Canis lupus familiaris: one gene and its partners. The protein of the gene in region 1 interacts with the protein of each later gene in a pairwise test. Links are inferred from orthologs where the notes say so. Each region holds a gene or a part of one and is shown in the gene's direction. Other genes may lie near its edges. The genes, in order: BYSL, PNMA2, CCDC102B, KRT40, LDOC1, NECAB2 and TRIM27.

Region 1 (3,500 bases):
TGGGGAGGCTGCTTCTTCCTCTCCCTCTGTGTGTGCACATGTGTGTGCGCATGCATGCGCTCTCTCTCAAATAAATAATCTTAAAAAAAAGAAAAAGGAAATTCTCAGGGTCCTGGGGTTGAGTCCAGTGTCAGGTTCTGCACTCAGCAGGGAGTCTGCTTGTTTCTCTCCCTCTCTCTCTATTTCTCTCTCTCTTCCTCCCCACCCCCCGGCCAAATAAAATTTTTGAAGAAAAAAAGGGAAAGAAATACACCTTACCTCTGTTTCTACACTCCTGACTTCTCAACTCTGTTCTTTTTTCATAGCACTTGTCTTCTTTTAATACTTATTATTATCTATCATTCCTGTTCAAACGTAAGCTCTGTAGGTTTCTCTTTTACTTATTTTTTAAATATTTTATTTAGAGAGAGAGGCAGAGACATTGGCAGAGAGAGAACCAGGCCCCTGAGGGGCACCTGATATGGGACTCAGTCCCAGGACCCTGGGATCACGACCTGAGCCAAAGGCGGATGCTCAACCACTGAACCACCCAGGTGCCCCAAGTTGCCTTTTATACTAATTTTTTTCAACACTTGGAACAATGCCTCACATATAATAGGCTCTCATTGTTCGCTGAATGAATGGGCTAATAGTAGTAAGGTAGGTAGAAGTTAAATCTACAAAAGATTTGGAGGCTATGTTTAGGATTTAAAGCTGTCCTAAAGACAGCAGGGGGCTATTGCAGAATATGGAGACCAGTTAGGGGATTGTTGAATACAGGCAAGCAATGCCCCTGATCTAGGCATAGGCAGAACTATGAAGGATTTGAGAGATAGTCTGAGGTAGAATTCAATAGGACATGGTAATTGATTGTGTAATTGGGGTGTGGGCAGGGGGCGAGGGCAGGCCTACCAGGTTCTGGCTCAGTATTTGGTGATGGTAGTGCCATTTACTTAGATCTGAAACACAGTGAGTAGTATAGACCTAGAAGGAAAAGAGTGAGTTCAGTTGATGACAGGTGAGGTTTTAATTGCCTGTGGCTCATCCAGGAGGTGCTCTACAGGAGGGAGCTAGAGTAAAGGGAAATATACCTACAAGCACAGATTTGGGGTTTGTTAGCATGTAGACACAAAACATCTGGCACATCCCCTCCCCCATTTAGCTTTTATCACACACTGCCTCTTTTCTTAATGAGCTGTTCATGTGTAACATTTCTTTCTGTTCGGATATTACATCCCTTCCCAGATGCCCAACCACCTATAGCTTTCCAATAACCAGTTATAAAAATGGGTTGTTCCAGGGGTGCCCGGGTGGCTCAGTCGTTAAGCATCTGACTTTGGCTCAGTTCATGATCCCAGGGTCCTGGAATCCAGCCTCCTGCCTCATGGCAGGGTCTGTGCTCAGCAGGGAGTCTGCTTCTCCCTTTCCCTCTGCCTCTGCCCCTGCCCTTGGTCCTGTTAGTGCAGACATATGCACAGTCTATCTCCAATAAGTTAGTTCTTTTTAAAAAGAGGGGTTTGTTCATTAAAATCTGAACTGCATTGCCTGACCTCAAGCCCTCCACAATCTGGCTTTACTTTGACCATCTAGCCTTATTTCTTGCTACTGCCTATCAGATGCTCTTGTAACCAAGCCTTCCTGGCAGTGTTGTTACCCATGTCTGGAGCACACTCCTCCAGCTCTTGTACTCCCTGTCCAGAGTCTAACCATCCTCTGTTGTTATTACCTTTTACGTACCTGTGGTATACACTGCCTTTACCTTTTATTTTGGCATTTAATGAAGCCCTACAATGTTCATAGAGCAAAAAAAAGTGAAGAATGTACAGTCTAAACTCAGACTACCTGCCTCAGGCAGGTTACTTAACTTTCCTATGCTTAGGAGTCCCTACCTGAAACTGGATAGAAGTAGCTACTTGGGATCCCTGGGTGGCGCAGCGGTTTGGCGCCTGCCTTTGGCCCAGGGCGCGATCCTGGAGACCCAGGATCGAATCCCACATCGGGCTCCCGGTGCATGGAGCCTGCTTCTCCCTCTGCCTGTGTCTCTGCCTCTCTCTCTCTCTGTAACTATCATAAATAAATAAAAATTAAAAAAAAAAAAAGAAGTAGCTACTTGTTGGCATTATGAAAATTAGGTACAGTGTTTAGAACAGCTCCTGCTATATAACTGAGTCTAGGGTGTTAACGATTGACTACTCATTGGCATCACTATCTCCTTGGCTCATATTTGTACACTTTGTCTCTCAAGCAAGATTGGGACCAGGAAGCCCCTGGGAACTGGAAGACAGTGGGTGCATCCGTGCTTCCACTGCCCCCATCTCTATCTGTTATAAGCACATGTGAGGTCTGTATTTTACATGATGGGTAAAGTTGAATTGACCTCTACATCCCTCCCCAACTCCCTGCCTTGCTCATCTGTTTTATCCTCTCTTCTAGGTCCAGGAGTCCCGCAGGACGGATCAGATGACGAGGATGAGGATTGGCCCACCCTGGAGAAGGCTGCCACAATGACGGGGGCAGGCCATCACACAGAAGTTGTTGTGGATGCTGAGGATGAGCGGGCCATTGAGATGTTCATGAACAAGAACCCTCCTGCCAGGTAGGGCTAGCATGGCCTAGGGATTGGGATGTCAGGTCCGGGTGCAGTTTTCTATAAGGAGGCACATGCCCTGCCAGTTTTGGTTCCCTGCCTTTGGGAAGGGCCCTGAGCATAGCTGATTGTGGGGAACCAACTTGGCAAAACTGGCCCCTCCTCAGAATGACCCCAACTTCCTGCCCACCTGTCCACTTGTTATAGAACTGCTCAGACTGGCTGGGGAAACAGCTACAGGGTCTTTTTTCATGATGCCTCAGGGCGATCCATCCTATTCCATTTGGTTTTGTTATGCTCAGTTTTCTCAGTGCTAAGTTCGATTTCCTTGGCCAGATCTCTTTCACACTCTCAGCTTCATATCAGCTAGGGTTTCTCATCCTCAGCACTACTGGCACTTTGAGCTGGATAAAACTCTTTTTTGTCGAGTCTGTCCTGTGCAGTGAGAGGTATTTGGCAGCATACCTAACTTCTCACTAGCCACCAGTAGTGACCTTTTTCCCCAATCTTGATAACCAAAAAATGTCTCCAGGTATCGCCAAATGTTCCCTGATGGGCAGACTCACCCTTGTTTAGGAGCACAGTTTATTGCCCTGTATCCTAAATGGCAGCTCCAAACAGGTGGGCATTGAAGCTCCTACACGCAAACTCTTTAAGCTGGTAGATTCTGATCCAGGGGAGGGAGGTCTAGAATAAAGACCTTCAACTAGTTCATACTGACCCTGTGATATTTATATGATACTCTTCTTAGTTCTTAGGCTTTTATTTTTTTATTTTATTTTTTTTTAATTTTTATTTATTTATGATAGTCACAGAGAGAGAAAGAGAGAGAGGCAGAGACATAGGCAGAGGGAGAAGCAGGCTCCATGCACCGGGAGCCTGATGTGGGATTCGATCCCGGGTCTCCAGGATCGCGCCCTGGGCCAAAGGCAGG
Region 2 (4,214 bases), on another chromosome or scaffold:
GCTATTTGGAGCGTCTCGGGTTCCTTGGGTGACTCCACAGCCTCCCTCGTTTCACGCCGCGAGCAGGAGTCAGGGCGAGCGGATCCTCCCAGGCGGTCCGCCCAGGCGCTGACCATGGTCCTGGCCTCCGAGCTCCCGACCCGGGCGCCGAGGGCGCGGGAGAAGGTACCGGTGGGAGGGCGCGCAGGGCGCGGCGGGGAGCGGCTGTGGAAGCCCCCGCCCCTCCCGAACCCCGGGGAGCCCCCGGGCCTGCACGCGAACCCTCCACTGCACGCTCCCAGATGCATCAAAAAAGGGTGGGGCACCCAGCCACAACTGCAATCGGAAGCCGCCCAGAAGGGTTTAAGAAGAATGGAATCGGTTCAACCCTCCCCCCCTGCATCGCCATACGACCCCCCCCCCAACCCGGGATCGGTTCTTCCTTCACCCGCACCCCCCACCTCCCAGGCCCGGGGAGGCGCGGGCAGCCTTTGTGGGCGCACAGCCGCCCATCGCCGAGCCCGAGCCTCTCCGCGCCCTGCACGGAAGAGGGGCAAGGAGGGTGGGGTGCCTGTGCGGGTTCGAGGATGCAATATCCCAGCGAGGCTGGACGGAGGAGGGCACGCTGGCATCCTCGGTTCTCCACCGAGCTGGGAGGGGCGACTCCCGCCTCTGGTCCCGCGTCTCGAACACCCCCACCCCCACACCAACCTGGTCGTAGATGTTCTGCAGCGCTTCCTTGCCCGAGGCCCGCCGGATCTCCACCTTCCGGCTCGATTCAACAGATGGCTCCCCGCCGGCGCGCCGGCCCTGCCGGGGGTGCGGCTGCTGCGGGTCCGGGCCCAGGTGGGCGACGTCCCGCTGCTGAGCCACCACCTGCCCCGAGCCCCGGCCCACAGACAGCGAGTCGAAGTCGATGGTCTTGTTCTCGGAGGACCCTTCCACTGGGCAGAACATGCCACAGAATTTCTGCCGGGGCTTGGGGCTGCCCGAGCCCAGGTTTTTAAAAAAGGCAGGGACTTCTTCATCCTCTGCCGGCTTCCCGGACTGCTTCCTCTCGGCCATGGCGCGGGAGCTCAGGGAGGGTCCTCGCGGTGCGTCCGTCTGCAGGTCCCTAAGTCGGCCTCTCTGTGCACAAACCCCCGGGCTGCCGCCGAGGCTGCCGCTCTCTGCCTACCGCAAGGTGTACAGAAAGGAAGGAGGGCTGGCGAGCAGCGGCCCACCCCTCCCGGCCCCTCCCTCTGACCCCGCTTTCTCCCCTCCCTGCCCACGCCCCCCGCCGCCGCGCCAGCGCCCGCGAGCAGCAAAGTTGGGTCTGGGAGGGCGGCCGCTGCGGCAGCAGGAGGAGAGGCTGCCAGCTTCCCGGCAGCGGCGGCGGCAGGGAGGCGCGGGCGGGCGGGGGCGGGGCGGGGCGCGCGCCGGGAGGGGAGGGGCGGGGCGGGGCGGGGAGCGGAGCGCGGGCCCGGGAGCGGAGAGCAGGGCCGGGCCGCCGAGAGCCCCGCGCTCCGGAAGTGGAGCGGCCAGACCACCCGCTAATGGATGCGGAGCGCAGGGCCCGCCGACCGCTCTCCGCTCCGGGGTAAGTGTGGGGCAGCGCACGCAGGGGCGGAGACCCGAGGGCGCAGTCCCTGGCCTCCGCGCCCCTGTCCCCCACCCCCACCGCATTGCAGAGGTGGGCCCGGGGCGAGGGAGGGCGCCCTCCCCCTTACGCGGGGTGTGAGCTGATGGATGGGCAGAGAGGGGCGAGCCCAGGGAGGCCCGGACACCCGCGGGCAGGGGAAGGGGCGGCGCTGACGATGGGGAAGGGGTGGCGCAGTCGGTTTAGGAAGGTGGGGGCCTTACGAGGCACGGGACACCGAGCCTTGTTAGCCACGGGCCTGGGGGGGCCACGCAGAGATCGAAACGCAAAGGTTCTCCTCACTCGCAGCACCCACAGTGGTGGGGGGCGCCCAGCCAGGCGGGGGGAAATACAGAGGGGCGTAGCCCAGTGTGTGTGCGTGGAGGGGGGGGGGATAAAGACATAGGCCTGCGGGCTGTGGGAGTGTAGCAAAAAGTGCAGTCTGCAAATTCTGGCACGGACGGCAACTCGTAGTAAGAGTGGGTAGGGACCTGCTCTCGTGCCCGAAGGCTCCGCGTGCCGTAGCTGCGCCACTGCACCAAGAAGGGCCCGGGAGAATGCCTTCATTTGCTATCTTCCACCTTCCCTGCCAAAAAAGAGGGTAAGACGCAGACTGAAGCCCATTCCCCAAGTCCCCGGCCCTTCCTCGCGCCCGGAGCGCCCCGCCTCGATCCCCCGCCCGCGTTGCGCACTGCGCCAGAGCCGCGGCGTCCCCCAGGTGGCCCGAAGCCCAGTGCCTGGGATGTAAAGTGCTGGGGCGCGAGTCCGCTGATGGGGTGGGAGATCGGGTGCCGCCTGTGACTGTGCCTTGAATGGTGTGAGGCCACGCGAGGGTGCGTGGGGCTGGGTGTGTGCGGGCGGCTAAACCAGCCACAGCTACTGGGTTGGCGGGCAGATAAGGGGCATTTAGATTTGTGCCGGGAACGCGGTCTCTGAGAGTCCTTCATTGCTTGTTCCTGTCCCCACGTCCTTTCCATGCATCAGTCCCTGCCTCTGGCCGATTACAACCCCGCCCCTCTTTCCATAGTGGCAAAATCCTGCAGAAATGATGCCCATCCTTTGGCGACTGGAGACGGAGATCTGGGCATGCTCAGTAACCAGGGTGGGTTTGGGCTGGGAGAAGCTGTTTACCGCAAGACCCGCGTGCAGGGCAGCGTGACCAAGGATTCACTCCCATTGTCAGCTCTTGCCCCTGCAAGGATTAAGTTCGGATACGCTCCCCCCACCCCCAATCGTGAGGGACAGTTTGGGGAATGGAGTTGCATTTGGAGGACAACCGGTCACAGTTTGAAGACGAGCCCACCATGGCAGGTGGGAAGGAGGACCCTGCTGAGAACGGGAGACTGAGGAAGGAGAGGAATATTTGTGTGGAGGGGCCAGGACTTTGCACCAGATGTGCTTCGCATTTGAATAAAGTGCTTCCACACGAATTACATCATTTCCTACCCAGAGCAGGCACGCGAGATAGGAGTGCTTTTATCATCACCCATTTCCAGAGCAGGAGACAGATCTAGAGAGATTGAGGCACTTTGGCTAAGGTCACTATGTAGCTAAATGATCCAGCCAACAACGACACCTGAAAATCTGATTCCTTTTTTTTTTTTTTAAGATTTTATTTATTTCTTCATGAGAGACACACAGAGAGAGAGGCAGAGACACAGGCTGAGGGAGAAGCAGGCTCCATGCAGGGAGCCCCATGTGGGACTCGATCCCTGGTTTCCAGGATCACATCCTGGACTGAAGGCAGCGCTAAACACCTGAGCCACCCGGGCTGCCCGGAAAATCTGATTCCTTTTCCAACTTATCCCATCTTTACCTAAGAAAATACAAAATTTTACTTTTTTTTTTTTTTTTTTAATGTGCCAATATTTTCATTGCAGGTAGAGATTGCCTTTGGAAGAAGCAGCCACCCACAGGTAGCCTAACCTCAGCATGGCCGTTATTATGTAGACCTTGGAGATGTTTCTTCCTGGGCATTCAGTGCCTTTTTACATCTCGTATTTCCTTTAAATATCACAAGGAAAGGAATGTTACCCCCGTATCTCTGAAGGGAGAGTGCAGCATGGAGAAGCTCACTGGGCTCAGATCCCTGGGGCTGCTGGTTGAAGGTGGGACCCAGTATTTTGCTCTCTTGGCCCTCCGGCACACCCCAGGCCTTCAGCACCTTCTAGAAGGACTTGGAAAATGTGTCTGCAGCAGGAGCAGCTGCCTCTATAGCTGCAAGTTGATGTCTGGGGCATATGAACCCCGTTTGGATGGATGGGGATCTTTGAGACCTACAGAAGAATATTCGTAGCCCCTTAACACATACCCCATAGCTGTAACTGGGAGACAGTAGGAGCTCTTCCCTTTCTAGGTTACCCAGACTCCACCACTCTCCATGGATGGGCTTCCTGTTTTTCTTTTTCTTCAAATGACCCATTCAAGCCTAAATGCTATGAAGCATTTTTAACATTGATCGCAAAAAAAAAAAAAAAAAAAAAAAAAAAAAAAGAAAACAAAACATTGCATTTGTAAAGCCTGCCCAGACATAACAAAAGGGAATTGACTTGTAATTCCAGGTTTGATTTATTTGGTCCAATTTTTTAAAAAATTGTTAAACCTATACTAAATTATT
Region 3 (4,138 bases), on another chromosome or scaffold:
ACTGGTATTTTAGGAATGTGAGTCTGGCAGAAGTTGAGCAGAATGGTTTGGGATGGCGTTGGGGTAATAGCGTGCAGGGAAGAGACAGTGAGACGACATCCGTAAATCCAAGCTAATCACAATTCTCTCAGGTGGTCCACTCTTACTTTAGGGAATAGACAGAAGAAATTGATACTGAAAATAAGCAGTTTTTATACTTAAATTGGCGATTCTCATATTCAACACTTAGGCTTTCCTCTCTTTTATTTTCTTGAACATTGTATTCAAAGAAGATGTCTTTTGATTTCTCAGAGGAAGTTTAATCACTGATTTTCATCAAATATCACATATTCATAAGAGAAACGCATGTGGTTATTGGAAATGATATTGGGAACACACTGGCGTTCTTTTGTTTGTTTATGATGAGTGATATGAATGGAAAGACCCCATGATTATCATGTAAGTTTTATTTGAATGGGTGAAGAGCATATATAAAATTTATGTTGCTAATAGACAATGCAGAGTACAGTACATCAGTAGTAAAAAGAATAAGCCCCATTTAACATTTTTCCTCGTATATCTAAACTTTAAATATATTTAACTTTTCTCTAAATAGAATATTTTATAAATATATATTATAACTATATATATATAATAGTGTCTGTGCTCTCATTTTAGAAATGTACGATCTACTGTTTTAGAAGTTTATTGTCATTTAAATAGGCTTTACTGGAGTAATGCCTTTTTGCCATATGCCCAAACAGCTGAAGATAGTTGTAATGTAAAGATTCATTCCTTTAAATATATCATTAAGAAAACAATAAGTATACTTGTCAGCTCAAATACTTTCATCACTGACCTTAGGTTAGGACATTTCATTTTAATTAAACAGATCTAGGCTGTTTTCCAAGATTCTATTTTATAGAGAGTCTTTTACATGTTCAATACCTGGTCCTCAGTGTTTGGTCCTCAATGCCCTGATCAACTGTTGATGCACAATTGTTATCAAGTATTATAAAATAGAAAACTGGTTATCTTATAGGAGGAAAGCAGCCTATCAAAGAGAAGATGGGTTGTGCTCAATACCATTCTATTAAGGTCATAGCTTTGCAGATTACTAATATTTTTATATATTTAAATACCTGAGTGACTTGCATATGATGATATTTACTATGAGTTGCTGTTATATGTAGAAAAGATAAAAGAATATTTGCTGTTAAAAACTGATAGAAGGACTTTTTTTGGTAGCTGAATACAGAAGTACCCTTTTGAATAAAAAACATATTCATTGCAGAGCTTTTAAATGGTATCCTATAATCCTTGTCTTTAATTTGTAGAATTAAAGCCCTCTTCCCCCCAAAAAATAGATGTGCTGGAGTACTACCATATCAGAGGCAGACCCACCAGAGCAGAATGAAGAGCACCATTCAGAGAGGTAGGAGGAGACCCATGAAAGAGGAGTCTTTCAGAAGCTAAGTAAATGAGTCATTGCTGAAAGATGAAATGGCCAAGTTATATAAAATGCTACTGAGTGGTCAAGGAAAATAGGAGTTAACTGTTAATTAGATTTTGCAATACAGAAGTTATTGATTTTCTGTTTTTGCAGAGATCTAGGCTTAAAAACTGGTAGAGTGAGTTCAAGAGAGAGTGAGATGAGTGAAAATATCTTCTAATGGTTTTTACTATAAAAAATATCAGAGAAATGTGATGGTCCCTGGATGGAGATCAAGATGATTTTTGTTTTTCAGGTTGAAGATATTATAGCATGTCCCCTTTGCCGATAAGAATGACTTAGGAGGGAGATTTAATTTTATTAGAAAGGAGAGAGAGAACTCTATTTGTAGGAGTTAAGTCTTTAAGTCAGCTAGTGGGGATTCAGATGGAACCTGCAAATGGAAAGTTTGACTTTAGGGGCAAGGATGATGTAGAAAGAGGCTGAGATCAGGGTTACCACAAGGCTGATAAGTGTGGTAGAGCCAGAGAATGGTAGTTGTCTTTTGATAACTTTTTTTTTTTTTAAAGTGAAACAGAGGGAAAAAAAGAATAACTTCATCAAGAAAGATGGAAGAGTTAAGGAAGAAGATGGGTGGAGTTTTGGAGAATGGGAAAGTGAAATGATAAGGGAAATGGAGTAGGGTTGGCTGTGCAGTGCTAAGGGCTGATGTGATATTCAGAATCAAGAATTGAAGTGAGACCTGAAAGTAAACCATGTTTTCTCTAAGTATTAGCAGATGCTCAGGTAGGTGCCTATGTGGAACAGGCAGATAGTTGAATGCCAACCAGAATTGGAGTTTTCTAGGCAATAAGGTTAAGAGAATGCCAATCTAGCTGAGCATAAATTGTTAATTAATGGGGCTTGGAAAAGGGAAGGAGTATCAATATGAAGTAGGTAATAAATGGTTAAAAGATAATGGGATCAGTTAATAGGAGGTCCAAGTTAGGTCAAAGAAGAGAATTTTGTGGACCACAGAAGGTAATCAAAAGGGTGCTTAACATGGAAATGGAAGAAATGCTGTATGGTAATAGTATCTAGGGTATATACCAGCCAGTGGGTGCATGAGGTAGAACTATTGGAATTGATAGGAACGGAAAGATGAGAATATTGTAAGGATACTGCATGTGAAAATATTTTGGACATGAAATTAAGTTTAGTTCCATTACAACCAATTAGTACCACCCTTGGTTTTACTAGATACATTTTATTTCTTATTAGTAAATGTCTTTGAATTTACTTAAATGGGAAAACAGTCCTGTTATAAAAATACATGGAAAAACATGGTGTTTTATATGTGGATTATATTATGGTAAGAAGATAAATATCCACAAGTGGACACTAATTTTAGTACCCATTCCCATGCTGAGACTAATTTTGTTCATAATTTCCTCCACTTACCTTCTTATTTTTTTAATGCATCCATCGCCTCATATAGTTACCTATTTATTTATTTTTTTTAACTTTTTAAAAAATTTTATTTATTTATGATAGTGAGAGAGAGAGAGAGAGAGAGAGGCAGAGACATAGGCAGAGGGAGAAGCAGGCTCCATGCACCGGGAGCCCGACGTGGGATTCGATTCCGGGTCTCCAGGATCGCGCCCTGGGCCAAAGGCAGGTGCCAAACTGCTGCACCACCCAGGGATCCCCTATAGTTACCTATTTAAAAATGTTTAACTGAAGTGTAGTTGACATATAATATTAAACTAGTTTCAGGTATACAACGTAGTGATTCAGCGATTCTATACCTAATGAAATGCTCACCAGGATAAGTGTATTATGATATTATTGACTGTATCCCCTCTGCTGTCCTCTATTTTTAATGATGTTTTGCTTGGTCTTACAGACTGTATTAGAGAAGGATCTTCAGGGAACAATAAGATATAGACATAGAATTTTTCACATCTAACGAATTGTAAGCCCATAATTTTTCTCGATGTTCATTATATTGCCAAAGTTTTGGATAAAGATTAAATTATATTTGCAAATGATGGTCAGAAACCATGAACTACCTTTATTTTAATATTTAATTTTTTTTTTCTAAAAGCCAGGCTGTCTAAATAGCTTAAAATAAATGGGATTTCTTTTAAACTTCTCAGATGAGAACGTGGAACAGTCATATCCAGTGTTTTGAATCATGGCCATTTTATTTTGATGTGACTATTGTAGCATCTCCTCTTCTACATTATGTGACCATGTGGCAGAGAATGAAAATGTTCTGTTCATTTATATTTGAATGATAGCTATGATGCTGATGTGTATTTACATTATCAATAGAATGCATTTTCAAACATATATTTGAAAATAATATTATTAGCAATCATCTTAGTTTGATGCATAAGTGAGAAGCCTCTGTAAGACAGAGATAGAAATTTTGTGAGAACACACTGAACATAAGTTTGAAAATTCAAAACAAAGTTTTCTATTTCTGGAAAATTCTCTATGAAAAAGAAAAATCCTTAAATTTTTGGGTTGCTCTAGAGTAGAGCTATGCAACAGAAGTAGTGTTCAAGCAACCTTTACAATCTGAAGTTACATTTAAAAAATAAATGTGGGGCACCTCAGTGGTTTAGCACCACCTTCAGCCCAGGGCCATGCTGGAGACCCGGGATCGAGTCCCATGTCAGGCTCCCTGAATAGAGCCTGCTTTCCCTCTGTGTCTCTGCC
Region 4 (4,074 bases), on another chromosome or scaffold:
TGGATAAAGATGTGATATATATATATATATATATATATATAATATTCCATTACATATAATGAAATATTAATCAGCCATCAGAAAGAATGAAATCTTGCCATTTGCAACAATGGCATGGGTGGTGTTATGCTAAGCAAAATAAGTCAGTCAGAGAAAGACAAATACCATATGATTTCACTCATATGGAATTTAAGAGACAAAACAGATGAACATGGGGAAGGGAGAGGGAAAATAAAATAAGACAAAGACAGAGAGGGAGGCAAACCATAAGAGACTCTTAAACATAGGTAACAAACTGGGGGTTGCTGGAGGGGAAGTGGGTGGGGGGATGAGGTAACTGGGTGATGGGTATTAAGGAGGGCAAGTGATGGTATGAGCACTGGTTGTTGTATGCAACTGATGAATCACTAAATTCTAAATTCTACCCCTGAAACTAATACTACACTATATGTAAACTAACTTGAATTTAAATAAAATCTTGAAAGATAAAAAAAGAACATTTAGCATTAAGTGTTGAAATGTGAAGAGAATCACTAAAATCAAACCCAAGAGTCTACAACCATACCACCCTGAAAGTGTTCCAATCCTATCTGATCTTGGAAGCTAAGCAGGGTCAGGCCCGGTTAGTATTTAGATGGGAGAGTAATACATACTAAGGGACTATTTAAGTCCATCTATTTAAGACCTCTTGGTTTGTTTTTGGTTTTGGTTTTTCCATCATCAGCTACCTAGGAAGTAGTGTTCAGAGTTAGAAAAAAATTTTTAGTTTTTTCTGGATCATGAAAATTTTAACTTTGTCAGAATAGTGGGCCTTTTCCAGTAAAAATCTTAAAGATTCTAGAGGCAATCTGTTCTGCCCACCTTTGAAAATGAAATACATACCACAATTATGCCAAGGAAAGTGAAAGAGATTATGCTACATACATAATAGAGATGAAATTCAAAACAAAATCCAAAAAAGTTATGTCTCAAATCGCTATCCATTTGGTACTGCACCAGGGATTTCATCCAATGGAACTCCTGGTCTGGAACTCAAATTATAAAATTTTATTCCCCAACGCCAGTATTTCACATTTTTATGAAATTGTGACCTTAAAAAAATAAGTAAATAAGAGAAAACAGATTCTATCTCAGAAGAAAAGTCTTTTATAGCTTCCTTGCCCCTATTCTGAACTGTATCCAATGAGGGTTTAGTTTCCCAAGAAACTAAAAGATTGTAACTTAGAAATTGTATTTCACTCTTATTATTAATACAGGTGAAAATAGTATACATAATCTAAAAATGAGGCATAGGTAACATAGAGAAAGCAAGTTTCAGGAAATCAAAGATCACAACTCCAGATCTTGATAACCAGTTTGTATTTTGGCCTGCAGGCCACAGATTATGCCCATCAGTTATTTATAAAGTGACTTTTCAATTTGCACACAGGTAGATGTAGTTCATACACACACACACACACACACACATATGCATGTGCACACACACTTTAAACCCAGTACACACCTCACTCCTCTACCATGTGAGCACAACAAGACCATAAAAAGCATTGCAAAGATGGTTAACTACATGGAACATTTTATGATGGTACACAAACAAATAAATGGCATTTAATGAGATGTAATATGAATTTTAAAAGGATAGATAAACAATTTACAATACAGGAGCAAAATCTGTGATAATATCATTTTTGTTATTTGTAATCAGTTGTATCTGCAATTACTGAGTGCCAAATGTCCTCTGCCTTTCTGTATTCTACCAAAAAGATAATGCATCTCATGAAGATTCTCTGAACCAAGCGTCTTATCCTACTGGCAGATGGAAATATTGCCCTTACTTAGTAACCTGAAGCTATGCCTCTTTTATGAGGCATAAAACTTCCTCAGAAAACAAACAACACTAATGAATGTTCATATGAAAACTGGCACCAACAGTGATAAACAGAACATCCGGTATGTTCTGTAAATACCCATTTGCAGGCTGTATAAAAGTCTCAGGAGGGATGGAGACTCTGGGAACCAGTCAATTGGAGTTTTGCAACTAGTCTTGTTCTTCACTTCTAATAGGATGACTTCTGACTGTTTCCCCACGTGCTGCTCTTCTGAATCCTGTGCCCAGGCTTCCGACTGTGCACTTGCTTCAACCTGTTCCATGGAGGCCACCTGCCTCCCCAGTGCCCCTGCTACATCCAGATGCCAGACCCCTAGCTTCCTATCCAGGTCTCGCTTGCCAACTAGTTGCCTCACACCATGCTACTTTGCTGGGAATTATAATATTCCTTGCTTGGTGGGGAACTGTGCTTGGTGTGAGGATGGGGTGTTCAACAGCAATGAGAAGGAGACGATGCAGTTCCTGAATGACAGACTTGCCAACTATCTAGAGAAGGTCCGTGGCCTGGAAGAGATGAACGCAGAGCTCGAATGCAGGATTCGAGAACAATGTGAAGAGGATATCCCACTGGTGTGCCCTGATTATCAGTGTTACTTTGACACTATTGAAGAGCTTCAGCAAAAGGTCTGGTGTTTCATTGCCCTAATGCTTCACCCTCCCAATCTGTGATTTGCTTTATCTTTATACTAAAAAAAAGGCTGTTCTATGGAAGTTCCCCCCATCCCCAGGGAAAGGGGTTCTCCAGGAGGAAAAGGTGGTGGGCTGAAATTCAGCAAAAATTAGCATGAGCCGTGGGGCTGCCAGTAATCATTGAATGGCCAAAATAAACTCACTCACAACTACCTATGGAGAAAAATCCAAGTTCAACTGCCAAGGAATATTGCAAAATGTTTTAGGCCACTGAAAAACGGACCCTTTTTATTTCTATATTTATTTTATGAATGGTCCTGCTTTTTTCTTCATTGAAGTGACATGCTTAATAAGAAAAATAGGCTTCAAGCTATTTTATACTGTCTTATAAAGACTTTTAAAAGATAAATAATGGTATAGTTGTTAAATGAATAAATATTTAAGTTTCTTTCAAAGAGCCCTCTAGTATATATAACTAACTTACTTACCAGATCTTATGCACGAAGGCAGAAAATTCCAGACTTGCTGTGCAACTTGACAACTGCAAACTGGCTGCTGATGACTTTAGGTCAAAGTAAGTTAAATTTGAATTTGAAAATAATTCATGGCTGTCTCTCTCTCTCTCTCTCTCACACACACACACACACACACACACACACGTGCACACTACAAATATTCTCTACATAAGCTTTTTTTAAGCTAAGAATGCTCACAAAGCTCACATTAATTGGGATATAGCTTCCTTGAGTCGTTGTGTCATTCATCAGCATGCCCAGCATCTTGCACAGTGTCTAGCAAAATAAGCACCATCTGTATCTCTTTTGCTGTGAAAGGTATGAGTCTGAACTGTCTCTTCGCCAGCTGATAGAGACGGACATTGGTGGCCTGCGTGGGATCCTGGATGAGCTGACTCTGTGCAAAGCTGATCTGGAGGCCCATGTGGAGTCTCTGAAGGAAGATCTCCTTTGCCTTAAGAAAAACCACAAAGAGGTAAGGAAAGTGTAAAATTGCTGAATGAATGTGGAGGTGACAAAGTCAAACTGATAGATTTCGTTTTGTGTATATAAATCAAACTCGGGCAGATATTGCTAAAGCTGGAACAAAATTACTCGAGGCACTAATGTCCAGCCTGATGACTCTGGCATATCTCTGGGTGTATATGTGAAATGGGCCCTGGCTAGTACCACTTGAAAGACCAAATTGTTCACCTGCTATTGCTTTCGTGAAGGAGGTAACTTTACAAATGGCTTTCCTTGGAGGCTTTATGCCACATAACTCTAATCCATAAGCTACAAAAATCAGGCTGATAAACACAGGGCATGAAGGCCATTTCAGAAAGGGGATAACATCTTATGCAATATTTGGACCAATATTTTAAAATATTCTACATCTATAAACTTTCTAAATCATAAAATACGAAGTATATGACTATCTCATGTTGATAAAGCTAAAAAGTGAAAAACTTAATGATGTAAAATGGTATATTTTCCCTTTGAGCATGTGTTGATGATAATAGCATTTATTGAGACCTTCCTATGTGCCAAGGACTTTCATAA
Region 5 (3,123 bases), on another chromosome or scaffold:
GCTCATGTGATAAAATAGAATGTTTGTAACACATAACTATTATGCAAGTTTCAAAATATCTCTTAAAGTATCTTACTGTCCTGTACTCACCCTTCTTGTGATGACGTGAGATGATAGAATGCGTAGTGATCCGACGCCAGGCTACTGGTTGATCTTCTGGTGCCAGGTCAGAAGGAGGGTCAGCTGATTCCGGATCAAACCACCCTTGGCACGGGTGACTGAAAGCACCGGAGAGCAAAACCGTGGATCAGGAGGGACTCCTGTGTGTACTGCAGGAAGAGAAGAGTGAAAGCTAAGCAGTTGCAGCAGTCTGGGTGGGATAAGGAAGGCTGGATCAGGGTGGTATAGTGGGAGAAGTGACTGATCTGGGGATATATTTTAAAAGCAGAGCCAACAAAATTTCAGCTCTAGGGTCCTGGACTCAACGATTTAAATAATCCAGTTCAAAGTAGAAAGCCCAAAGCATTTAAAAACACAAGTGTTCATTGTTAAGCAACAAACAACATGCGACCGAGGGCCAAGGGGCATTAACAGGACATGAAACAGAGGGTCAAAGAGAGGCGAGAGCCTGCAAATCGTTCTCCAGTGGTGCTTTTGCAGAAGTTTTTATACTTGACTGTTTAGAAAAAAATACTTTTTAAAAAAGGATGTAGGTATACAATATTGTTTCCCAACTAAAGAAAAAAAAACCCCATTTAGATATTGTTTTGTTTTCAAAGAGGAGCCCCAAGGAAGGGTCTTTCGCAACTCCGAAAGGATGCGTGGCTCCCGCGGGGCAGGCCGCAGCGCCAGCAGTTCCCTGGGTGAGTGGGATTTCAATAAGCGAGGACGTGTGTCACCGAAACGCGCAGGTGGAATCTCGTAGCCACAGACCCACCAAGGAGCCCCGCACTGTGTGAGTCGGCTGAGTCCGAGCGTGACCGATCCTTTAAAGTTGAGCAGGTTGGCCCTCTCTGAGCTGGCTTTTGGCGGTCCCGGGGCGCACATCCGGGGCTCTAGCGCGGGAGCCTGCCCTTCCCGGGCGCCGGCCTCGGGAACTCCGGCCGCGGGCCCCCGGCTCCCGCCCGCCCCCTCCCTTGGACCGAGCCCCCGGCCCCGCCCCCGGCCCGCCGGCCCCGCCCCGGCCCCGCCCCCTCGCGGCGCCGGCAGCGCCCTGACCACGCCCCCCGACCCGGGCCGCGCCGGCGCGCCGGCCGCCCGAGTGGCTGTGCGGGCGGAGCTTGCGCAGCAGCCGGACCCCAGCGCGCACCGCCCTCCGCCCCTGGCCACCGTGCGCCTCGGCGGACACGCACTTCCTGCGAGGCCTCCGTGCGCACCTGAGCCGAGCCCAGCCCTGCGCTTGCAAGCCGTTCGCCATGGTGGACGAGCTGGTGCTGCTGCTGCACGCGCTCCTGATGCGGCACCGCGCCCTGAGCATCGAGAACAGCCAGCTCATGGAACAGCTGCGGCTGCTGGTGTGCGAGAGGGCCACCCTGCTGCGCCAGGTACGTCCGCCGAGCTGCCCGGTGCCCTTCCCCGAAACGTTTAGCGGCGAGAGCTCCCGGCTCCCCGAGTTTATCGTGCAGACGGCGTCTTACATGCTCGTCAACGAGAACCGATTCTGCAACGACGCCATGAAGGTGGCATTCCTAATCAGCCTGCTCACCGGGGAAGCCGAGGAGTGGGTGGTGCCCTACATTGAGATGGATAGCCCCATCCTAGGTGATTACCGGGCCTTCCTCGATGAGATGAAACAGTGTTTTGGCTGGGATGACGACGAAGAAGACGACGACGACGACGACGAGGAAGATGATTACTAGGCCGGGAGACCCTCGGGCCCAGGGGGGAGGGCCCTGCACGCCGCCATCCTCTCCCCCGCCTCTCCTGCCCGGCCCGGAGCCGCCCAGCGCCCTTCCGCCCTCCCATCCCCTTCCCTACCCCCAGCTCTCCGGTTCTCTCCGTCATCCCCCTGTAGTGCTTGCCTTTGTTCCGGTTACCTGCTGCTGGGGCCTCGCTCGGAAGCGCGCCGCCACCCACTCTGGCCAGCCCCGGGGCCCTCCCCTGCTGATTTGGACTGTGTCCTGAGCCCCAGCTATAGGGCAGGCCCCTGTTACAAACTGGTCAGACCACGCACAGCCCTGCCCTGCCGACTGCAAGGCCTCCATCTGCCCAGAGACCTACGCTGCCACTTCACCACCGTCCACCACATTCCAGCGACAGAACACAGCCTTTGAAAATAAGGACCAACCTAGAAGATGCCTGAGTTGGCTCTATGTCCTTGGACATTGATTTGGACAGCTCACCAGCCCCTGAAGGGGCCAGTCTTTCAACCTGGTTAGTTCCCTGCCTACTCCCAGGGTCCTCCCCTTCCCCACCAGATTGCTGCAGGGGCCTAGTGCGCCTGGCAGCCAAATTGTTGACATTTCTTTTCTCCTATGCACCAGTTTTGCACAGCTGTCCTTTTTCTTTCCAAACTGCAGCAGTCCCAACAGATGTGTGCATTTGGACAGAAATACTAAAAACAAAACAAACAAACAAAAACAGGCACTCAGCCCAGCTCCTCAATACCACCTGGAAAAAAGCATTTACGTTCTTTTCAATAAATATCAAGCACTACAAAAATAAAGAAAGGAGTGTCTTTTAATGGTTAAGTGCTATCATTGGCCTCTTCCAATCTCACTCTGACTCCCGTTATGCCCCCTGAGGTCAGGGAACTTAGTTCAGTCCCAGTATTCGCCACTGTCATCTCTAGGCTACAGAGGACAACTACCACAGGGTTTTCTAGGAATTCTGGTACTCTCCTCACCAAGGCATTTCTTAAAGCCCTGGCAAAAGGAGTGAGTGTCCTCTGGGGCCTCCAGGGTGGCATGGGTAAGGGGTGGCTGAGCAGGTGGCACACCATCCCAAACTGGGACACTTGAGAGTTAAAGGGGGACACTGTTAATAATTAGACTAGGACAACAGGCATAAATCTGGACACATACAATGTTATTATCTTCTTGAGCCTTTGGATTCCTTACTCAACACTGCCAGAGAAATTCTGTCCCTTAAGTCTTGTTGCCCGCGGGGCGCTGTTGAGTTCAGACTTCAGTTAACTACGTAGCATATTGTTTTAATGCCCCTTTCAGGTGCTTGAACTGACAT
Region 6 (2,945 bases), on another chromosome or scaffold:
CAAATGCAGCCCCCGTGGTGGCTTTCATCTCCCAGTAACCAAGTACCAACAAACCAAATTGCTCCGGTGACCTAAAGCCTTGCCATCCATGTCTGGTGCAGGGTTACATCTGATCGGAGGGTGACACGTGTGCCCTGTCCTCTCGGTGACGACCCCACAGCCCCACGTGTCATTTGAGGCTGGAACCTAATAAGCTAATGCTACGATTGGTAGCCTGGTTCTGTGCTTCCACCCTGGGCGGTTAGGGCGGGAATCGCCCGTAATTATACGGGGAATGCCACCCATGACAGCGATCCTCCTCCTCCTCCTCGAAGGATGCTGGGGGTGCTGCTCTGCAGAGCGGTGAGAAAGCAGCCAGGGGCCAGATCAGGACAGGGTTAGAGATGGTGGCAGCTTAGCGCCTCCCTGCCAGGTCCGCCACACTCGGGGAGGCAGCCCCTGGCCCAGGTGGGATCAGCCCTGTTACAAGGAGGTGGGCAGCCGGGTGCTTCCCCAGGTCCTGCAGGAGTGATGGGGACAGGGGGTCCTGGCCTGCCCACCCACTGACCCGGGCACGGCCCTCCCCCTGCTGCTGTTGGGCCAACTCCAACTCACAAGAGTGCCTTAAGGATTAAATAAAATAATTCTGGAGGAGAGCCTAGCAGGAAAAAGGCTTTTATTTTTACAGGTAGGGTTTTTTAATGAATGTAAAACGTTTGAATTACAATGAAATGATATTTTAATTCAGTGAGCATTTGAGGAGCCTGGCCCTGGGGGAGGCGGCTGGGTTACTCCTGCACCGGTGCTGGGGCCCTCCCACATCCTGCCAGGCTGGTGGGGTGGAGCATGGGGGGCACCCGCCGTGAGGGGGCAGCCAGGCCCCCTGCAGCTGGAGCCTCTCCTCTTACAGTATCGCGGCCCTGAGGCTGGCGGATGGCTTCACCTTCGTGGTCTACGAGTTCTGGGAGACGGAGGAGGAGTGGAGGAGGTGAGCAGGGCTGGGGATGCGGGTGTCCTCGTCCCTCAGGCCCCTTCCCTGGAGAGGAGAACGGGGAGGGCAGGGGAGTAGTGAGCCCCCATCCCTGGGGCATCCACCCACAGAATGCTGGTCTCAGGGCCCTAAATGCAGCTGGAGACAGGTTTCTCCAGGTGGAGGGATGGACCCCCGCCCCCCATCGCACCTGCTGGGCTCTGAACCCAGGCTCCAGGCCAGCCCAGGAGGTAGAGGCTAAGGCTGTTCCTATTTGAAAACTGAGGCCTCGGGAAGATAAAACTCCAGAAAGGTCTCTGATTAAGAGCACTCGGTGAGAGGCAAGAACCAGGCTGTTCCTCCCACCCCAACCTGCCCTTGCAGCAACAAGGCCCCCGCAGTCAGCCTGAGGCCTGGCTTCCTTGGCTCTCAGTACCAAGCGTGGCTGGCATGGGGTTCAGTAGGGCCAGGGTTACAGGATTTGGACCCTACCTGAGCCCAAGTGCTGGAGGCTCCCCCACTGTCCCCCAATCCCCGGAAATACCCCTCCATATTTTGGGTTGCAGGCATCTGCAGAGCCCCGTGTGCAAGGCCTTCCGGCATGTCAAGGTGGACACGCTGAGTCAGCCTGAGGCCCTCTCCAGGATCTTGGTGCCAGGTAGATGGAAGTTGGGGGTGCAGAGGGTCCTAGAGATGGGGGGGCAAGGGCCAAGGGCTGATACCCTGGAGAGGGGAGAGGGCTGGAGACCTCAGGCAGCCCTCCAACCTTGAACCAACAGAGCAGCTTGCAGGGCAATGGCAGAGCCTCAGCCAACAGGGCTCTGGGGGCACCCCTTCCCCTAACATGTGCATGAGGGCCCCCCCCAGGGGGCAGGGGCTGGATGGAGAGTGAGCTCCAGGGGAGCAGGAGAGGGGAGGTGTGCGACCTGCCCCTCACTATGGGACAGGAGAAGGGGCCAACCTTCCAACACCTTCTCTCCCCCCTTTCCAGCTGTTTGGTGTACCGTGGGCCGTGACTGACCGCCTTCCTGAGGCCTTTGGAGCCACCTGCCAACCCCGCCCCCTTTTCTAGAAACTTTGGTACACAAGTGGTCTTTTCAATCTACTTCCAGATAAGAATGTATTTTCCCTGTTTGAAATGAAGGAGCAGCCCCTTCCCCCAGCCTTCCCCGGACCCCCACCCCTAGTGGCAGAGCAGTCTGAGCGGCTGGAGCCGGAGGACAGCACCCCACCCCCCGGCCCCCCAGCCCAGTGGCCACGCATGACCCTCTCCCCCTACCCCTTACCACCCCTCCTCTGCAGCCTGCCCTGGCCTCACCGGGACCGGCCCCTTTGCTGGCCCCTGCGTCACAGGCCTGGTCAACTTTCCTCTACCTGGTAGGAGCCAAGACCCTGTAGTGCCCAACCTCGGCCTGTGCCCAGCTGCACATGGCAATAGAGCCCACGTAGCCAGTGCCATGCTTGGCAGGCACCAATACACTCTGGTTGGGAACGCCCGCGTGCGGTGTTGTTCTTTTGGACTTTCCAGTTGAGGGCGACTGGAGGAGTAAAGCCGTCACTGTGCACGGGGCCCCATGTTGGCCATGAAACCCTGACCAAATCACCCCAATGCCTGTTTCCTTACCTGCACCACGGAGCTGATAAATCTGAGGTCAGGCCCGTCACAAAGTTCGGGGAGTCTCCAGCAGTTCTCCTCTGGCTCATGTCACAAGGACTCCCAGGATGCAGCAGAGCCATTTCGCTCAGCTATGAGTTATGGCAACAAAAGGGTACAGATTAAAATCTGTGAAGGGAAGACATGCAGGGGTCTCGGAGAGTCCAGGCCCCTCACTTCTTGCTCCCAGTAGGGATGCAAGTGAGAGACCGCCCATACAGCACTACCAGCCAGGAAGCTCTGCAGAGCCTGGGAGATCAGGTTCCCCTGGGGAGGGGGCGGGGACAGCCCTGCAGAGCGCTGACTTAGCCTCCAGCCCCTCTGGAGGTCAGGGCTGAGACC
Region 7 (3,500 bases), on another chromosome or scaffold:
CCCTAGGTGGCGCAGCGGTTTAGCGCCTGCCTTTGGCCCAGGGTGCGATCCTGGAGACCCGGGATCGAATCCCACGTCGGGCTCCCTGCATGGAGCCTGCTTCTCCCTCTGCCTGTGTCTCTGCCTGCCTTTCTCTCTCTCTCTCTCTCTCTCTCTCTCTCTGTGACTATCATGAATAATAAATAAAATTAAAAAAAAAAAAAACTTATAAAAAAAAAAAAAAAAAAAGAATTGCCCCAGTAAGGGGCAACTGAGTATCATGTACCTTTAGAAGGATATACCACTGGGTGCCTGGGTAACTCAGTTGGTTAAGTATTGGACTCTTGTTTCAGCTCAAGTCTTGATATCAGGGTCCTGGGATTAAGCCCTGCATCAGGCTCCATGCTCATTGGGGCATCTGCTTCTCCCTCTGCCTCTACCCCTCCCCCCTGCTTGTGCGTTCTGTCTCTCAAATAAATAAGTGAAATCTTAAAAAAAAAAAAAAGAAGAAGAAGAAGAAGAAGAAGAACATACCATACACCAGTTAAAGATGATACAGCCTGGATTTAATCATGAGGGGAATATCTGACAAACTCCAAAGGAAGGATGATATCCTGTAGAATAAACAACCTATATTAAACCAGTGTCAGTGTCACAAAAGACAAATCAGCCCTAAGGAGCCATTCCAGATATGCATGGTGATAGCTGAGTGTGGTGAATGGTCATGGATTACCGAGCAGGGAAGAGAGTAGCTGAAGATCACTTTATTAAGGTGATTGGTTAAGGGCCTGCCTTTGGCCCAGGGTGCAGTCCTGGAGTCCCGGGATTGAGTCCCACGTCAGGCTTCTGGCATGGAGCCTGCTTCTCCCTCTGCCTATGTCTCTGCCTCTCTCTCTCTCTCTCTCTACGTCTATCATGAATAAATAAATATAATCTTAAAAAAAATAAGGTGATTGGTTAAACTAGAGTATGGACTGGGTTAGATAAAGGTTTTCTTAGATCATTGATCATTAGATCCATGTTCCTTATTCTGGATTGAATAACTACTGTGGTTATGTGAGAAAATGTACTTATCCTTAGGAAAAACACACAGAAGTATTAACGGGGCAAAGATACAGCATAGAATGTAAATAGTGATCTCTCAAATGGTTCTGCATATAAATGTGGTTATAAAATCTGGAAAATTGGGGATCCCTGGGTGGCTCGGCGGTTTGGTGCCTGCCTTCAGCTCAGGGTGTGGTCCCGGGATCAGGTCCCACATCAAGCTCCTTGCATGGAGCCTGCTTCTCCCTCTGCCTGTGTCTCTGCCTCTCTCTCTCTCTCTCGAATAAATGAATAAAATCTTAAAAAAAAAATCTGGAAAGTCTGGGAAGGGGTATCCAGGAGCTCTGTACTAGCAGCTTTTCTGTGTATTTGAAATTATTTCACAATAAAAAGTTAAAGCAAGCTGGACAAGTAGGCAGTTGTGGTCTGAGGGTGGGATACTGGAGTTTGGAAATTTGAAATCGTGAGATCCTGGGCCAGTGGGGCAGAAGCAGGACAGAGGAGATGCTGGGAGTGCAAACTGTGCATCTCACTTTGCTCACCCTGACTCTAGGTCCTGGGCTGAGTTGTGGTCCTTGTCTCCCTGGCTTTTCGTAGGAGGGCCAGCTGGTTCCTGGGTTTCCAACCAACATCTGAAGGAAAACTGAAGCTACGAAGGTCTCATGGTTATCTTTTCCTTTCTCTTGTAGGACATCGGGGACACACTGAGCAGGTACGGTGTTCTCTCTCTCCAGTGCTCAGTCACACAGGAGGATGTTTCCCTTAGACTCATAAATCCTGAAAGGAGCCAGAGAAGGACATCTGACGAGAGTGAAACACAGCCTGCCCGTCTCTGGACCAAGTCACTGGTGTGCAGAGAGCTGGATGGACCACAGTTCTGCTTAGTAAACTCAGGAATTACTGACAAACTGCGGGTGAATGAGTACCTGTGATTTGTGAGGACACATCTGTGGAGAGCAAAGGCTCACACAGAGCTGGCCAAAGTGCAAGGGTTTCAGAGTCCTCTCCCCAACTGTATGATGGGGAAAATATGGCCTAAGAGGAGTGTGGGTGGCTCAGAGTTGCAGAATCAGTGCTAACTTACCTGATACAGGCTCCTGTTCTCATTCCTTCTTGGCTGTGTGATCTGATGGGGACGGGGAGGAGCGGGCCAGATGCCAAAGTTCACCTGTGTTTGCAGGACAGACAGGGGCCCATGGGCTGGGGTTTGGTGCAGCAGCATCTACAGGGGCAGAGGCTGACTTAGAAGGAGCTGAACTTTCAGATTGTTTAAAACACTGCACAGTACAAGCCCTCCAGAGAAATGAGCTGGGCCAGGGCCTCATAGATAGAGTAGGTTGGCTGGGAGTGCCACATGGAGAGATTCTGGGGTAAAATCGAGGGTTTGAGGGAGATGAATTGGAGCGTGTCCAGTCCCAGCCAGATGGCCCCAGTGATCCCTGCCCTTACAGTCACTGATGCCGGTCCAGTTCTGGCCTGACATGGGGAGATAGACCCTTCAGAGCCCAGCGTTTTATGACATTAATGTTGGGGTCTGGCTGTATGAGATAGGAAACCAAAAATTTCGTTGGCTTAAAGCTGAAACATAATTTCAGAAATTGCCACCTGTGAGGAAGGTGCAGGTAGGTAGCCAGGGGCGGAGCAGGGAGTTTCCTTCTTTCCGCTCTCCTGCTGTCCTTGAAGTCCCGGTCCAGGATGGTTGCTGGAACGCCAGGCAGCATGAGGGTGATAAGTACGTCACAGCACGCTCCCCCTGAAGTAGGCTTCGCAGATTGCCATGAGACACTCCTTCCCTCTTACTGGCCAGAGCTCAGTCACAGGGTTGCATCTAGACGGGGCAGCCGTGAGCGTGGTGTAACTTGGGAGATGGGATATTGGGGAGGCAGCTGGCAGTCATGGATCATGGACCCCCTGAACAGGGTGGGTGCCAATCTGCCTGAAAAGGGTTCTTACCTCTGGATTGTTGCCCACCATGAAGCTCAAGGACTTTGTCATGGAATCTTTTGCTTTCTGGCACGGTCAGCCTTCTATTCGGTTTAATTCAGTAAACCTTTTTGAGGACAAGCCATTTGAAAATCCATGAGCTAGGTCCTGTTGGGGGAATGGAGATGAGGAAGCTGTTTCTCCTGCTTTTGTCCAGAGGATCACAGTCTAGGCAGAGAAGAGGGAAAAGGCTGTAGGGGCTGCTTTAAACATTGTTGGTCATTTTAACCCAGACTTTGTCTGGGCTTCTGAAGTCATAGGGTTAGAGGAGGGGAGGGATTTACTCCTTTTTTTTTTTTTTTTTTTCTTTTTTTTTTAGAGCTGAAAGAATCCGGATCCCTGAGCCCTGGATCACACCTCCAGATCTGCAGGAGAAAATCCACATTTTTGCACAAAAATGTCTGTTCTTGACGGAAAGTCTGAAGCAGTTCACAGGTAACAGGAAGATAGGGATCCCTTAGGGGAAATGCATTCATGCTCTGAATATCTGTCTT

The links.
Region 2: the proteins of BYSL (region 1) and PNMA2 interact in binary tests that used the Homo sapiens proteins (3 or more experiments, as listed by UniProt). The two-hybrid records come from large-scale screens. The link is inferred for Canis lupus familiaris from reciprocal best matches to the Homo sapiens genes BYSL and PNMA2.
Region 3: the proteins of BYSL (region 1) and CCDC102B interact in binary tests that used the Homo sapiens proteins (3 or more experiments, as listed by UniProt). The two-hybrid records come from large-scale screens. The link is inferred for Canis lupus familiaris from reciprocal best matches to the Homo sapiens genes BYSL and CCDC102B.
Region 4: the proteins of BYSL (region 1) and KRT40 interact in binary tests that used the Homo sapiens proteins (3 or more experiments, as listed by UniProt). The two-hybrid records come from large-scale screens. The link is inferred for Canis lupus familiaris from reciprocal best matches to the Homo sapiens genes BYSL and KRT40.
Region 5: the proteins of BYSL (region 1) and LDOC1 interact in binary tests that used the Homo sapiens proteins (3 or more experiments, as listed by UniProt). The two-hybrid records come from large-scale screens. The link is inferred for Canis lupus familiaris from reciprocal best matches to the Homo sapiens genes BYSL and LDOC1.
Region 6: the proteins of BYSL (region 1) and NECAB2 interact in binary tests that used the Homo sapiens proteins (3 or more experiments, as listed by UniProt). The two-hybrid records come from large-scale screens. The link is inferred for Canis lupus familiaris from reciprocal best matches to the Homo sapiens genes BYSL and NECAB2.
Region 7: the proteins of BYSL (region 1) and TRIM27 interact in binary tests that used the Homo sapiens proteins (3 or more experiments, as listed by UniProt). The two-hybrid records come from large-scale screens. The link is inferred for Canis lupus familiaris from reciprocal best matches to the Homo sapiens genes BYSL and TRIM27.

Annotation. Positions count from the first base shown.
Region 1 is NC_049233.1:10,772,509-10,776,008, forward strand, and holds part of BYSL (bystin), read left to right. Parts: intron 1-2,412; coding exon 2,413-2,575; intron 2,576-3,500. UniProt on the Homo sapiens protein: Required for processing of 20S pre-rRNA precursor and biogenesis of 40S ribosomal subunits. May be required for trophinin-dependent regulation of cell adhesion during implantation of human embryos.
Region 2 is NC_049246.1:31,209,002-31,213,215, forward strand, and holds the start of PNMA2 (paraneoplastic antigen Ma2), read left to right. Parts: upstream 1-1,414; 5' UTR 1,415-1,558; intron 1,559-3,477; exon of another isoform or gene 3,478-3,513; intron 3,514-4,214. Other genes in the region: DPYSL2 (dihydropyrimidinase-related protein 2), read right to left, coding at 691-1,044.
Region 3 is NC_049222.1:9,363,240-9,367,377, reverse strand, and holds the start of CCDC102B (coiled-coil domain-containing protein 102B), read left to right. Parts: upstream 1-1,338; 5' UTR 1,339-1,346; coding exon 1,347-1,414; intron 1,415-4,138. UniProt on the Homo sapiens protein: During interphase, forms fibers at the proximal ends of centrioles to maintain centrosome cohesion. During mitosis, dissociates from the centrosome following phosphorylation to allow centrosome separation. Contributes to CROCC/rootletin filament formation.
Region 4 is NC_049230.1:21,658,557-21,662,630, forward strand, and holds the start of KRT40 (keratin, type I cytoskeletal 40), read left to right. Parts: upstream 1-1,274; 5' UTR 1,275-2,065; coding exon 2,066-2,512; intron 2,513-3,006; exon of another isoform or gene 3,007-3,009; coding exon 3,010-3,092; exon of another isoform or gene 3,093-3,351; coding exon 3,352-3,508; intron 3,509-4,074. UniProt on the Homo sapiens protein: May play a role in late hair differentiation.
Region 5 is NC_049260.1:112,049,045-112,052,167, forward strand, and holds LDOC1 (protein LDOC1), read left to right. Parts: upstream 1-1,208; 5' UTR 1,209-1,355; coding exon 1,356-1,799; 3' UTR 1,800-2,623; downstream 2,624-3,123. UniProt on the Homo sapiens protein: May have an important role in the development and/or progression of some cancers.
Region 6 is NC_049226.1:68,811,505-68,814,449, reverse strand, and holds the end of NECAB2 (N-terminal EF-hand calcium-binding protein 2), read left to right. Parts: intron 1-638; exon of another isoform or gene 639-889; coding exon 890-967; exon of another isoform or gene 968-1,015; intron 1,016-1,515; coding exon 1,516-1,607; intron 1,608-1,940; coding exon 1,941-1,969; 3' UTR 1,970-2,445; downstream 2,446-2,945. UniProt on the Homo sapiens protein: May act as a signaling scaffold protein that senses intracellular calcium.
Region 7 is NC_049256.1:27,394,762-27,398,261, reverse strand, and holds part of TRIM27 (zinc finger protein RFP), read left to right. Parts: intron 1-1,712; coding exon 1,713-1,735; intron 1,736-3,325; coding exon 3,326-3,441; intron 3,442-3,500. UniProt on the Homo sapiens protein: E3 ubiquitin-protein ligase that mediates ubiquitination of various substrates and thereby plays a role in diffent processes including proliferation, innate immunity, apoptosis, immune response or autophagy.